Linked DNA regions of Cricetulus griseus. The protein of the gene in region 2 interacts with the protein of the main gene of each other region in a pairwise test. Links are inferred from orthologs where the notes say so. Each region holds a gene or a part of one and is shown on either strand. Other genes may lie near its edges.

Region 1 (4,067 bases), on a different chromosome or scaffold from region 2:
GACACATAAACGTCACTGACAAGACATTAACAGCTGCTTATGCTAAGTCACAATTCAGTATCATTCCAGTGTTTAGCTTTGGGAACATGAAATGCTGTAGCTAATTAAGATCAAGACATTCACATTTGAGGTTCGTTGTTACACATTACAGTTTCCTTAAAGGCTTGAAAAGACTACAAGTTAACTTGCATGCAGACTTGTAGACTCTGCATTTAAAGCTGTAGTTGTAGAAACGGTACAAAAATTGTATTAGTGCCAACATTTAAGATTTAGCAAGCTGTTGTACTCCGGTCCCAAGGTAGACCATGTTAGGACAAAAACTTGTCTGTAGATGCTTAAATAAACTTTCCTCCATTGTCATTTTCTAAATGCTCAATGACTCTTAAGTCTTCCTTCTGATCTTAAAGTTGATTGTCATGGTATTCCCTCAGTGTATATGTGTATAGAAATTTGTTCCAATGCTGAAGACAGCTATTTATTAGTCTATTAAATATCAGTATACAGTACAGCAGATTTCCAGTTTGATACTTACATACGTAGCAGTCATAGATAAAATTCTGTACTCTGATTAAAAAATGCAGAAACTGTCAAATGTGGTCATCTTTCCATGGAAATAAAAACTATTTCCATCACAAGGAAGAAATTTCAAAAGTCAACACAGTTCATACTATCACAATTTACTAAAAGAATTAGAAAATTCTATCTTTAAAAATGTCAGCATCTTTTGTACACTTTTAACCACACTAGAGGCTGCTGAGGGCATTCTCATCCATGAAGTCCGAACTAAAAAGTTGGTTCTTTTTTTTATTTTTATTTTTTTAAGACAGGGTTTCTCTGTGTAACCCTGGTGGTACTACAACTCAGAGGTCCACCTGCCTCTGCCTCCTGAATGCTGGGATTTAAAGGCATGCCCTGCCAGGCCCAGCAAAGTTGGAACTTCTGATGGAATGTTTTTTCAGAATGAAAAGACATACAAATTTACACTTTAAAAAAGTCACTTCCAAACTAAAGCGGCACTTTTTTCCCAAGAAAACTAAATCAATTGTTTAAGAAAATACTGTTATTCCCAGTGCACAGAAGCACAGCCCCTTCTCCCAATAATCGCACAAAGTCATTTAAGTGTTAAATAATGTTAATATTTATAACTCTGTGAGACATGGAGTATTATGTATATACATACATGTTTTTTCATTGACATCTGACTGAGAGGCAAAGAGTTGGGAAGGTGAAAACAAAAGGTTTCTCCAGGATAAATCAGAAATGCTCTGAAGAAAGTTCCCATTTTAAATCTCCAAACAAGCCAAGGATCCCTAAAGCCATGCCCAGAAAACAAGTTTTGTATACAAACCTCCTAAGGGACCTTTCTCACTAGTTTGGGATCTACAAATAGGTGAGCTGCTTATTCTGCCTCCTTCAACCTTATTCTCAGCATTGAGGCCATCTTCCTGTTGGTGGTTTGCCAAATAAAGTTCAACATGATGACATGGGATAAAACAGCTGTTTCCTTCACCTTAGCCAAGTAGATGGCACCCACTGAGGTTCAGTGTCCAGTTTGTTAATGAGCCTAAGCAATTCTTGATAGGCTTTATCAAGATCTGAATTCACAATTGCAGTGTCAAAGTAGTGGCCATTGTTTTGTTCCATCTCTCTAGTCTTCTCAATGATCTCCCTTAACTCTTCAGGCTGCAATGAAAAAAATAAAAACTGTGAGGTCATACAGAATACAGAATGAGTCAGGAGTGTCACTACATGGCTTTCCTTTTGTCTGTGGTAGACCCAAGAGCTGCCTGGGCCACCTTGGCATCAGTACTTTAGAATTCCTGTTTGAATCCTGGTTTATATCACTTCATGTATTTCCATTTTTAGGTTTGAAGAACATGGGCGATTACTCTGAATTCCCTAAACATGTTCATTTTCAAACATTTTATGACATAATAACCTGTATCCAAAAGTAACATTGGCGGCTGGAGAGATGGTTCAACAGTTAAGAGCACTACTTGTTCCTGCAGAGGACCCAGACTCAGGTCTCATATGACATTTCAAAACCATGGGTAGCTCTGTTGTCCCTTCTGACCTCGTAGGGGACCATAGGCATCCGATACAGACATAAATGCAGGCAAAACACCCATACACGTAAAAAATAATAAATCTTTAAAAAAAATAGCAACAACGTGTATAATATGGAGTCCAACTTTAAGACTAGAGTAAGTGCTCTAAAACATTCTTTACTCGAGCACTTGCTTCTGCTGGGCTTGCTGGCACACACCTTTAATCTCAGCATTATGGAGCAGAGAAGGGTGCGTTTGAGGGCAGCCTGGTCTACATAGTTCCAAACCACCCAGGGCTAAAGAGTGAGACCTTTTCTCAAAGACAACAACAAAAATGCCTTTATGTGTGTGGCAAATTTAGGTAGAATTAACATTATGGGAGAAGAAAAATATTAATATATTGAGTTATCTTTTGCTAAGAAAATCTAATAACACTGGGGGAGGTATTCCACTTAATACACTTTAAAACTCAGTTTTCAATGTACAAAAGATACTTTTTTCTTTTCTTTCTGAGACAGGATCTGGCTGTGTATCCCCAGGCTGGCCTTGAACTCTTTGCTACATCTAGTGCGGGATAACAAGTGTATACCACCACTCTGGGCTCTCCTAAGGAAAACTGTCCTTAACTTTTTTTCTTTTCCTTTTTCTGATGCAGTGTTTCTCTACATGGTCTGGTTATCCTAAAATTTCCTATGCAGACTAGGCGGGTATGGAACTCACAGACATCCACTTACCTTTGCCTCCTGAGTGCTAGTATTAAAGGTGTGTGATGTCAAGACTGGCCCTACAAAGGACAGTTTAAGATGCAAGAGTATCCCACCAGAGTCTGGGGAATAATATAAAATGGGCTACTTTAAAATGCTGAGTAAAGGAAATGATATTTAATGGAAACAAGCCAGTGACAAGGCTATCAGCAAAAATTATCCAGAATCCTATAATAATCAGGCTCACGGTCAAGAAATGAAAACTACCCCAAACCACACTTATCAGACAAGATGGCTAATAAACTTCAGGCCAAATGTTGAAGTCACACATCACTGTATTGGGCCCACAAAATGACTTCCACTTAACTGTAACAGGAAACAGTAAAATCATGGCAACTCTTCCACATCTGATTTCCATTTTGAAATGCTGTGATTGGGTACCCAAGATGCTTTGTTCACAGCAGACTTTATCATCATAACACAACACTATGACATTTTTATAAAACTTGTGTATTCAAAGTTTGAGATTAGTTGTTAACAAACTAAAGCATTACTTCATCTTTTACAGCATTTACTACATTATATCTGAATTTCTTGTTCAAATTATAGACCATGATTAGATAAAATGTTTTGCCTAAAAATTTTATGAACTAAAAAAATTAACTTCTCATCAAAACCTGTCATCTATCACTTCATATCATCTACTCTTAAAGTCCCCTCCCCAAATCTAGGATAGATTCCACAACCAAGAGTACAAGGCACTCACTAATGGTAAGTAACACCGTTACTACTAAGATTGGTGTTTACCTACTAGTTATATCATGTGATAAAGTAACACAAGACTGGTCTACATAGTTTCAAGTCACCAAGGGCTTCACCATGAGACCCTGTCTGGAAGATAACACGCATACATAGAAAATACATACATACAAATGTAAGTGAAATATACCGCCCTCTAGCCAACAAGAGCCGAGCAGACACTTTTACAAGTGTGCATGGACATTAAGAGTGGGTGGTGGACCATAAAAGAAAATTCAATACATTTCAAAAGATTAACATCCCTTGGGATCCATTCTCTGGTAATGATGGAACTGTACTTCAGTAATGTATTCTTTAAAATCACCAAATAGGTGAAAATTAACATTTCTAAATAACCCATGAATTAAAGATAAAAATGACAACGGAAAGAATATTTAAATAGAAAAGACAAGAATGATAGAAACTCTCAGGTTTTCTAAAGTGTTTTGGTAATTCTGTTCAGTCTTGCTATCAGTTTCTAATCAATTACTCAATTTCTACAGAAAAGCCTGATGAG
Region 2 (4,693 bases):
ATCCTGTAGCATTGGTTTGTTTCCTTAAAAACTTTTCCTGAAGAGATTCAGTTTGTGTGTGTGTGTGTGTGTGTGTGTGTGTGTGTGTGTGTGTGTGTGTGTGCGCGCGCGCGCGCGTGCGCGTGCACACACCCATGCCTTATGTATGTATGTATATTTGTATAATGCTGTTGTAGGACACTAAGCAAGAATTAAATCTACTATTTAGAGGAGGTATAGCCTTAAAACCAAACCATCTTTCTTCATTTCTTTTGTGTTTTATATTTGAATGAATGAAAACACTAGAAATGAACCAGGAGCCCTAAAATCATAGCATGTGTCTTACGATTTGCTGAGATATACTTGGTTGTCCCTGACAAGAGTCTTATTTCCTTCTTCTGTGTTGTTCACCAGCTGACATCCTGCCTGGTGCCTGATGGTACACATTTTTAATTCCAGCACTCAGGAGGCTGAGGCAGGCAGATTTGCCAGTTCAAGGCCAGCCTGTTCTATAAAGCAACTTCCAGGACAGTCAGGACTACTCAGAGAAACCAGATCTTGAAAATAAAATCAATAAAAGGCAAAGCCTTAGTAAGCAACTGTTGCTGACAGAAATGCATGAGTGAACAGGGGAAAGGTTCCTAACAACTTCCCTATGTGTGCTCTACCAACCTTGCTAGCTCTGCAGGGCTGTGACTGCATTTCACACCAGCTGTATCTCGGTTTGGTATGACATCCCTATAATCAATAGTTCTTGGTTTACTTCAGGCTTTGCTTCACTAACACTAATTTACATTAATTTTAGATTCCCACCACAAATATGGGACTATGAGGAATTCAAAGATAGGTTCAGAAATCGCCTCATCTCTCAAGGAGCTACACCCATTGGGGAGACAAAAGTAGCAACCACTTATAAAGGCTTTGGGAGGGCAAATCTATAGTGTACCAAATGGGACCCTGGAGCTTGGTGTGATCTACTCTCCAGTAGGTGGCCAAACACGGGAACCTAAGTTAGGGTAAAACTGCACAATATTGAATCATCAACCCCAAATTCCTAATGACCAACTGAGTTAAGCCCTTTTCAAGGGCAAAGTTTAGAATTCCACATTCCATCAATTTGAATCATAAAATTACCTACTGGATCATACTAAGGTACCATCACAATGAAGTAGAGGGAAGGTACTTTATTGATAGTCTTCTCACTCATCAAGCAGCCCAAGCCAGTAAGGGTAGAGGGTTCATTAATTCAGATATTCACATAGTTAACCTAGCTTTGCTTCCTGGGTTACTGTCTGGAGTACTGCCATGTACCATCTGAATAGAAACAAGAATGTGCTTTTCATCTCTGTCTGCTTAATACCTCCTCTAACAATTGGCTGGGGCACCTAAAGGATAAGATACCCTGTTTCCCGAAGTGTGATAATTGTATTAGAAATAGCCGTAGTGGGATATAAACTTCCTTGGTTATGTGGTCTTCTTGGAGTGATTGCTTTTCTAACGTAGTTAGAACTTGGGATGTTTAACAGAGTTAAACTTGGGATGGTTGATGACAGTAATTTAGTAATGGGACAATATAAGAGCTCATCACATTAAAACAGAAATACTTGGGAAGCCCATCGTTTTTAATAGCTTGCCATCTGCTTGGCTCTTATCAGCAATGGAATTATCCTGCTTAGTACGGATGATATTGGGGGTAAAACCATAGATTATATGACAGGTTTCTGAGCTTTTTACTGTTACTAATTTGCGAGTTTGTAAATGAACATTTCTCAATATAAAAATCAGTTATTTTTCTTCTCTTACCCCAGGTAAGGTTGCTATGGGCACCACATAATATCTGTTCTGGCACTAGCAGATTGAGTTAAAGTCACCAAAGATCTCTCCAAATTAAGAACCACAAACAGAGTTTACCAGCTTTGCCACTATGCTCCCCAGCAGGATGCTTTTTTTGCCTTGCTGGGCCCTGCTAGTTTAATCCCCCCGAAAGAGAAATTTTAGAGGGACAAGGACTAAATCATTTTCTTCTGAGCACAGCATTTTCAAATGTCTGCCCAGGGTCCTAAGCCCTGCGGCTGAGGACAGGAGCTAGAGGTGCCCTCTTTCTGCAGAGCAGGGACTCTGGAGCCCTAGTACCTGGACGTGGGAAGGGAGAAAGGAAACTCCTACTCACAGGAACCATTTGGGTGCACTAGGCAGGCCCAGATCCTAGAGGAGAAACCAGTATCCAGGCTTGGGAAGGTTTGAGGAGGTAGCAAACGCTGGCTGTTTCCCATGCAGCCAAAGAGTAGGACGCACAGGTCACAGGATAGAACTTAAACTGTTACCCAGCCTGCGCTTTGTCCCTGTTCTGTCTGCAGCCCAGGCACGGAGGTGCACTTGTCTGGTAAAGAAAAAGGTTGGTTTGGAGCAGGAGACAGGAGTTGCTACCGCCCTGGAACTGCAGGCGAAGGGAGCACCGAGACCCAGCGACCCAAGCAGCAGCTCCGGACAGGGAGCTGAAGCCAAGCCAGCTCGCCTCCGTGATGTGGCGTTCCCTAGCCAGCTAAGCTAACCGGATTCCGCTCTGCCCTTTCGCCCGAGGGCAGCGCCCTGGCTTGGGCAGCCCAGCAGCGGTGCACCCAGCTACCCTGCCAAATGCACTACCGCTCCGGGGCGATCTCCCAGTCACCGCAGCTGCATAGAGCCTGTCTCCATCACAGGGACAAACTTCCTCCCTCCGGGTCTCTGGGCCGGCAGTTGTTAGCTGGCTTCCCCACTAGTCCCTTCGCTGCTCTGACTGGGAGAGCTTTCTCTGCCCCTCTCCAGCCTCCAGTCACCAGCGCTCAGCGGTTCCCACAGAACCTCTCCAACAAAGCCGGGGCCGGGAGGCGACCCAGCGAGGGACTAGGTCTGGCGGCTGGAGCATTGGAGCCCTGGCTAGGCATCCACGCCCCGGCGAGCGCAATGAGAAGAAGCGGCAGGAACCAGGCGAGGAGAGAAAGTGTCCTGCTCCAGGCGCGAAAGCCTCCTGGGCTGATCTCCTCGCCCAGCTGCCCCTGGCCGAGCGCATCCTGCTGTCCCAGTGGGACTGGGCAGGGCGGAAGGGAAAAGCAGTGCGGACTCAGTGGCCTGATGGACCAGCCGCTCCCTTACCTCTGTCCAGAGTAAGCGGCTGGACCACTGTCAATGTCGCCATGTCTGCCGTGGGAGCCGAAGTGACGCTCAGCTTCAGCATCAGCAACCGCTTGTAGTGAGAAAAAGAGGAGGAGATTGGGGGCGGGGGTGGAGAGGGAAGACGGAAAGGAGGGGGAGGTGGGGGAGGCAGGAAGGTGGCGATGGAGGAGAAGAAAGCTCGGGTGGGTTGGTAGCCAAATGGGAGACTCAACTGTTCTGCTGAGGCGAATCTTCAGACGCAGCGCCGAGCAGGGCAGATATCCACGAGCGCCTGCATGGCCAGGCGCTGAGAAAGGAAAGCTCAGCCCTAGAACTTTGCTCCTCCACCCATGAGCTCTGGCTGGGTGTAGCTGGTTAGCTGTCTTTCAACTTTCCACCCAAGCGTAATGGTCAGAATGCACTTGTACACAGAGGACACGAAAACAGAAGAGAGTTGGGGACAGAGGTTTATTTATTTATTTATTCATTTATTTATTTTTAGAGTAAGGAAAATTTCAGCCTATTAATCCCACATCCCTTTAGAAAGAAAACGCCTCTGGCAATGGGAGGTGGTGCTCTATCATTGTAGTTGCTGTTAATTTCTGTTGAAAGCTTTCTTAGAATGTCCACTCCTAACAGTACGAGGTAACTGACAGAAGGTCAGGTTTCCATAGGTAAGTGTTCATTTAGGAGCTGGGTATATTGTTTAGGAAATAATTTGCCTTTACAAGCAACTTCCTTATAATGTTTTAAAATTAGAAAGGGGCTTCTGTCATTGAAAAATATCTAGGACCTTTCCACATTAATCTAGAAGAAGCATGTATTCAGGGGTGTTACTTATTGATTAATTAGCATATGTGACAAGAATTGAAAAAAGAGTATTATATGCCATTTACTACATTCTAGGTTCATTCATTCCCTGTAGCTTCTGGATTAGGCTAGGATAATATTAAAGGGCTTATTTGAGAGTCAGTTGACCAGGATTCAGTTACTGGAGCCTTCAAATACTGACTGTGAACCCTTTAATCCCAACTTTCACTAAATTTCCACCAAGCCTTATCTCCTTATCAAACCATGAGGAAGCATGGGTAAACCTCCTCTGGGAATAATGGGAACAGCACCTGGGTGACAATGCTTTCTCTTCATCCCTATGACAGTTAAATAATTCTGGTGACTACCAAGACACTCCTAGAGGGTGATGGGTTACAAAAAAGTATTTGCTTATAATCGATGTGATGTTCTTCTAATTAAATAAAGAGAAAGCAGTAGACTTGATTGAAATAGTGGAAGATGATTGGCTATCTATCCATTCACCAAGTCCTTAGTGACACACAGAGGGTGTGATTTGAGGAAGAAATTTGATCATGAAATTCAACTCTTAATCACGCATATTATCTGCCAAACTCACAGGCTCTTGTAATCCCCAGTCTCCTTACCTGCCAAACAAGGGGACCAATTACAGTGACCTGGTAATCAGAGGAAACTGAGTCTATTCTGCAATTGATGAGCTGTTGATGGGCCTGTCAAAAGGGATGTGCTCCCAAATTATAAGCATGCTAGTAACATCATATGGACTGAGCAT
Region 3 (4,441 bases), on a different chromosome or scaffold from region 2:
GGAACAAAGTCTGGTGTGGGCTGTGGAGCCTGGAATACTTTTGGTTCCAGCAACGAAGGGTTCAGCGCTCTGGGCCTTATTCCCAACCTGGGGCTAAGCCTACTGCCACTGCCAGTTGCACTGTTTGGGGAGCAGGGCTTATAAAAGAGGGACACATTAAGAAAGTCTGTGGAGAGACTTTGGCAGTGAGAAGCTAGGAATAAGGGAGGGACCAGGCTATGTTTGCTCCGAGGAGCTGAGACCGGTCACCAGCTACAACAACTGGCTCTCGACGGGGCTCCCCCAGCATCTAAAATGGTCCAGACTAACACTACTGCCCAGGTCTGCCCAGCTACCAGTGTCTTAGTACCTGGCCACATGAGAACAGCCCACAGCTGTTCCAAGGACTATAGTAAGGAGTGAGAGGAGCCAGGGAACAGGGTGGGTGTGGCCAGCCCAGAGGAGAAAAGGCTGGCAGGGTCCTAGACCTACTGACCACAAGGCCCCAGCAGCTCTGCTCATCCCTGGTCTGAGCATTACAGGAGTGATTCTGAGCTGTTCCTGGACACAGCATGGTCCATACAGAGGGATGTCTGGTGGCCAGTGGACATCGGGAGTGGGCAGCACCTGGGTACAGAGGTACCCTATGAACACCTACCTCCCTGGCAGTGCACACCTCTGTACTGAAGCCTGCTGGGAACTGAGATCCAGGGAAAACCAGAGATGGGGGGTGAAGATCGTTATCAGGGTAGGGGAGTGTCACAGGTGGGGTGAAGGATGGATTCCCCACCAGGCAGGGAACGAGGCTCAGTACACCCAGCTGACGGGCACCCACTGGGGCTCTGTTCGAAGCTTCTCCATGGCAGCCTGGAGCTCACGGAAGGTCCTCTCGAGGTTGCTGTTGACCAGGCTGAGGTCGAAGTAGTGGCCATATCCCCTCTGGATTCGGCTGCTCTCTTCCACTGTCCGTCTCAGATCTGCCTCCTGTTCGGCACAAGGGGCTTCAGTCAGTGTCTCCAGCTTGATTCCATCACTAGAGAAATCTACAACCTGCCTACCTCACCCCCAAAGCCCAGCCACAGAGTAGAGATTCCCTTGTGCCTCACAAGGCTGTGCTTCTGCACCCAGCCAGGATGGATGGATGGATGGACGGATGGGAGGAAGGAAGGAAAGAAGGAAGGAAGGAGGGAAGGAGGGAAGGAGGGAGGAAAAGATGCTGTAACACATAGAGCACTAACCGTTAAGCCACCCATGGGTTCTTCACTACAGCTCCAATAATAACACAAAGCTCCCATACAAAGAGGTCACAGTGAGCCGATGGCTCGGGGATCTGCCTGACTCCTGCCAGTGCATCCTTTAGTCTGACCAAGTCCCTTGCTATAGCTTTGAGGTGGCATCAGAACTTACCTGGTACCAGGATGATGCCACAAATGAACAAACTAATTCCCACCCCAGACCTAAAGGAGGCTTGCTGGGAAGGAAGTGGACATCAGGCATAATGGACATCTGAGGGCAGCCATGTCCCAGAGGCTCTGGGTGCATCTGTTGCCAGGGCCATGGCACCCAGAGTTGACATCAGAGGATGCAAGCCCAACCTAGACCACCTCTGTGGAGCAGAGGAGCTGTAGTAACAAGAGTGGGGCAGGGGGAGCCTTGAGCTCAGAGCTGGGCAAACCCTACTCCTGGGGGAATGCTGTGCCAACATTCAAGTTTCCTCTAGAAGCTTCCGCTGGCCATCCCTGTCCTGCAGATCTTCTACTGGCCATGCGTAGTAGGCCTAGAGTCAAAGTTCTGTGTCCCTGGCTCTGTCTGAGAGGCAGGGCACTGCATTCCTCTCTCAGGCCTTCCTCTCTTCAGATACACAAATCACTGACTCTCTGGGCTCCACCACCCCAGGCAACCACCCAGCCCTCCCACCGCTACTCAGATCCACTCACCGTCAGCTGTTTAGTGGACACTCCGCTCTCCAGTGCAGCCCGGTTCATGGCTCGCAGGGTCTCAAAGTCAGGGGCCTCAATGAATACCACATAAGGGACAAACTCGGCTGTCCTCAGGACCTTCACCGCCTGCAGGGAAAGAGTAGGCTGGGAGAACACCTTTATATGGGCTAGGAACAGGAAGGATATGGGGTGACAGGGTGGGCACCTGAGAGTGGGTGCTTGGGGTGCTTGGGGTTCTGGGACCTGGGTCATGAGAATGACAAGTAGCGGGCAGGCGGCTGGAGACTAACTGAAGGAGGCTAGGGCGGGGGGTGGAGGGGTGGGGGGGTCTGGGGATCTGGAAAAGGGCTGGGTCCTTAGCAGTAGTCGAGGGGTACATGAACCCTAGGAGACATACAGGGGTTGCTGAGGGGAGCAGAGTGTGGTAGAGGACACTGACAAACATGAAAGGGAAGGGCTAGACAGTACCTGGGGGTTGACATCCAGCACGCACACCTTGCCGGAGGCAACCACGCCCCGGATGGAGTCGATACGTGTGCCATACAGGTTGCCCTCATACTCGCCATGTTCCAGGTAGCGCCCAGCGCGAATGTCAGACTCCATCTCCCCACGAGACACAAAGCTGTACGCCTGCCCTTCCCTCTCTGTGTCCTTGGGCCTCCGGGATGTGTCTGGAGGGGAAGCACGGATAACCGGTGAGTCAGCCACCCCACCTCAGATATGGGTATGTGGGTTCTGTGTGGGGTGCAAGAACTCAGCTCTGGAGACAACATAGCCTGCTCTCGGTCTTCTCAGAACCTCGTGTCTTCATACACACCTATTCTCACCTTCTCCACGGGCATACGCGCGCGCGCACACACACACACACACACACACACACACACACAATGCACGCGACACACTTGTCTGGGAGGACCTTCGGGGAACAGCTTGCCCGATGCCATGTACACTGATGCTAGCAGAGGCTCAGGGAGGGCGATGAGCAGCCCAAAGCCACATTGCAAGGGTCAAGAAATCTGGGCTTAGCGTTCTTGCTCCTGCCTCCAGCAACCATCACCACCTTCACCTCCTGTGGTCCCAACACTTAGATTAGAAGCCCTGTCTGCCACAGGCCACACACAGCTCAAACCTGTCTCGCCAGACATCATGGTAGACACTCACTTTTTTTTTTTTTTAACCCTTTTTTGCAAGTAAAACTTGAGAGGAGAAATCCTGAAATAAAGCCAGCCCCCTTTCACCGAATCATGAGCCTGCAGTTCCCCTTATTCACCCACAGAGGGCGCACACAGCTCTCCCCGCCAAAGGAACCACCTTGACCTGGTGTCCCTGAAGAAGCTCGCTCAGTTCTGCTCAGTGCTGCTCAGCAACCCTCCACCACCATCCCTCCGTTCTCCTCTCCCATCCACGCTCGCACCTCCCGCTCCCTGGCCCCCACTCACAGGGCACTGTGGTGCCGTAGCGGTCTGGATCCCACAGAATGAGCTTGTTTTTCAGGCTGCGCCGGCCCACACCCTGCGCGCCAATCAGCACCAGGGTTTTCCGGCGGAATGGGGGCATGCGGGCCACCTCCTCATAAATGAGCAGCTCGTGGCGGTCAAACTCTGGGCACAGAGAGATGGCACTGTTCACCAGGCTGCCCCGTGGGGGAGGAAAGGGGCTCTCAGAATGCATTAAGGGTAAGTGTGCTTGAGGCCTGGGAAACAGAGGAATTGGGCAAGCCTAGGAACGAGGCTGGCAGTATCTGAGGCAGAGTAGACCCACAGGTCACTTGTGAGGAAGAGAGAGATACGACATATTAGACAACTTGGACAGGAATTAATACCCACCTGCATTCTTGGTAGTCAAATACATCATTCGCTTCTTTTTCTTTCCTGAAAGGCTGCCACATAGGGTCCCTGGCCACAAGGAAACAAGCGAGTGAGCAAACTGGGCCATGCCAGGTCTTAAATTGGGGCCTGAGGTGGGGAAGGGGGCTCCTACCTGAGGTCGGGGTCAGCTCCAGGTCCCGCTTCACAAATGCTTTCCGCTTCTCCTCCAGCAACTGGCTGGGTATGAGACCAGCACTGCCCCCTTCTACGTGGCATGCCTGAAACGGCACACGCCAAAGACCTACCTGGGTAAGAGGGCCATTCCCGGCACCCCGCCTCTTCTGCCGCACTACGGTACTTGGAGACACTGTAGGAGTGCCCAGGGCTCACCTGCCACCAATTGGCGTCATCTTGGTTTACAATCTGGAGCAAGTCCCCAGCGTTGAAGCGAAGGCCTGCTTCCTTGCAGGGGATGAGGCTGTCTCGGGCAGGGTCATAATCGAAGTGGCATTTAACAAATACCTGAGCCCCAGGGATTTGGGAAGAGTCAAGGGAATGAACGGAGAGCGCATCCACCCTCTTGCTTGGCAGACAGTACAGCCCTCCCTGCCACTCTCCCTCTGTGGAGGAGAGATGCCTCCAGGCCTGCCTACCCTGCCCTCCTGGTATTTCTCTTGGCAAACTGGAGTGAAGAGACTTAGATTTAGCAGTTGA

What was found.
Region 1: the proteins of Lin7a (region 2) and Mpp5 interact in binary tests that used the Homo sapiens proteins (3 or more experiments, as listed by UniProt). The two-hybrid records come from large-scale screens. The link is inferred for Cricetulus griseus from reciprocal best matches to the Homo sapiens genes LIN7A and PALS1.
Region 3: the proteins of Lin7a (region 2) and Mpp2 interact in binary tests that used the Homo sapiens proteins (3 or more experiments, as listed by UniProt). The two-hybrid records come from large-scale screens. The link is inferred for Cricetulus griseus from reciprocal best matches to the Homo sapiens genes LIN7A and MPP2.

Annotation. Positions count from the first base shown.
Region 1 is NC_048598.1:124,804,233-124,808,299, forward strand, and holds part of Mpp5 (MAGUK p55 subfamily member 5), read right to left. Parts: intron 1,684-4,067; coding exon 1,507-1,683; 3' UTR 1-1,506. UniProt on the Homo sapiens protein: Plays a role in tight junction biogenesis and in the establishment of cell polarity in epithelial cells.
Region 2 is NW_023276806.1:147,813,409-147,818,101, forward strand, and holds the start of Lin7a (protein lin-7 homolog A), read right to left. Parts: upstream 3,194-4,693; coding exon 3,112-3,193; intron 1-3,111. UniProt on the Homo sapiens protein: Plays a role in establishing and maintaining the asymmetric distribution of channels and receptors at the plasma membrane of polarized cells.
Region 3 is NC_048600.1:116,034,370-116,038,810, reverse strand, and holds the end of Mpp2 (MAGUK p55 subfamily member 2), read right to left. Parts: intron 4,307-4,441; coding exon of another isoform or gene 4,250-4,306; coding exon 4,118-4,249; intron 4,006-4,117; coding exon 3,900-4,005; intron 3,815-3,899; coding exon 3,746-3,814; intron 3,521-3,745; coding exon 3,359-3,520; intron 2,591-3,358; coding exon 2,388-2,590; intron 2,046-2,387; coding exon 1,917-2,045; intron 964-1,916; coding exon 787-963; downstream 1-786. UniProt on the Homo sapiens protein: Postsynaptic MAGUK scaffold protein that links CADM1 cell adhesion molecules to core components of the postsynaptic density. In CA1 pyramidal neurons, required for synaptic KCNN2-containing channel function and long-term potentiation expression.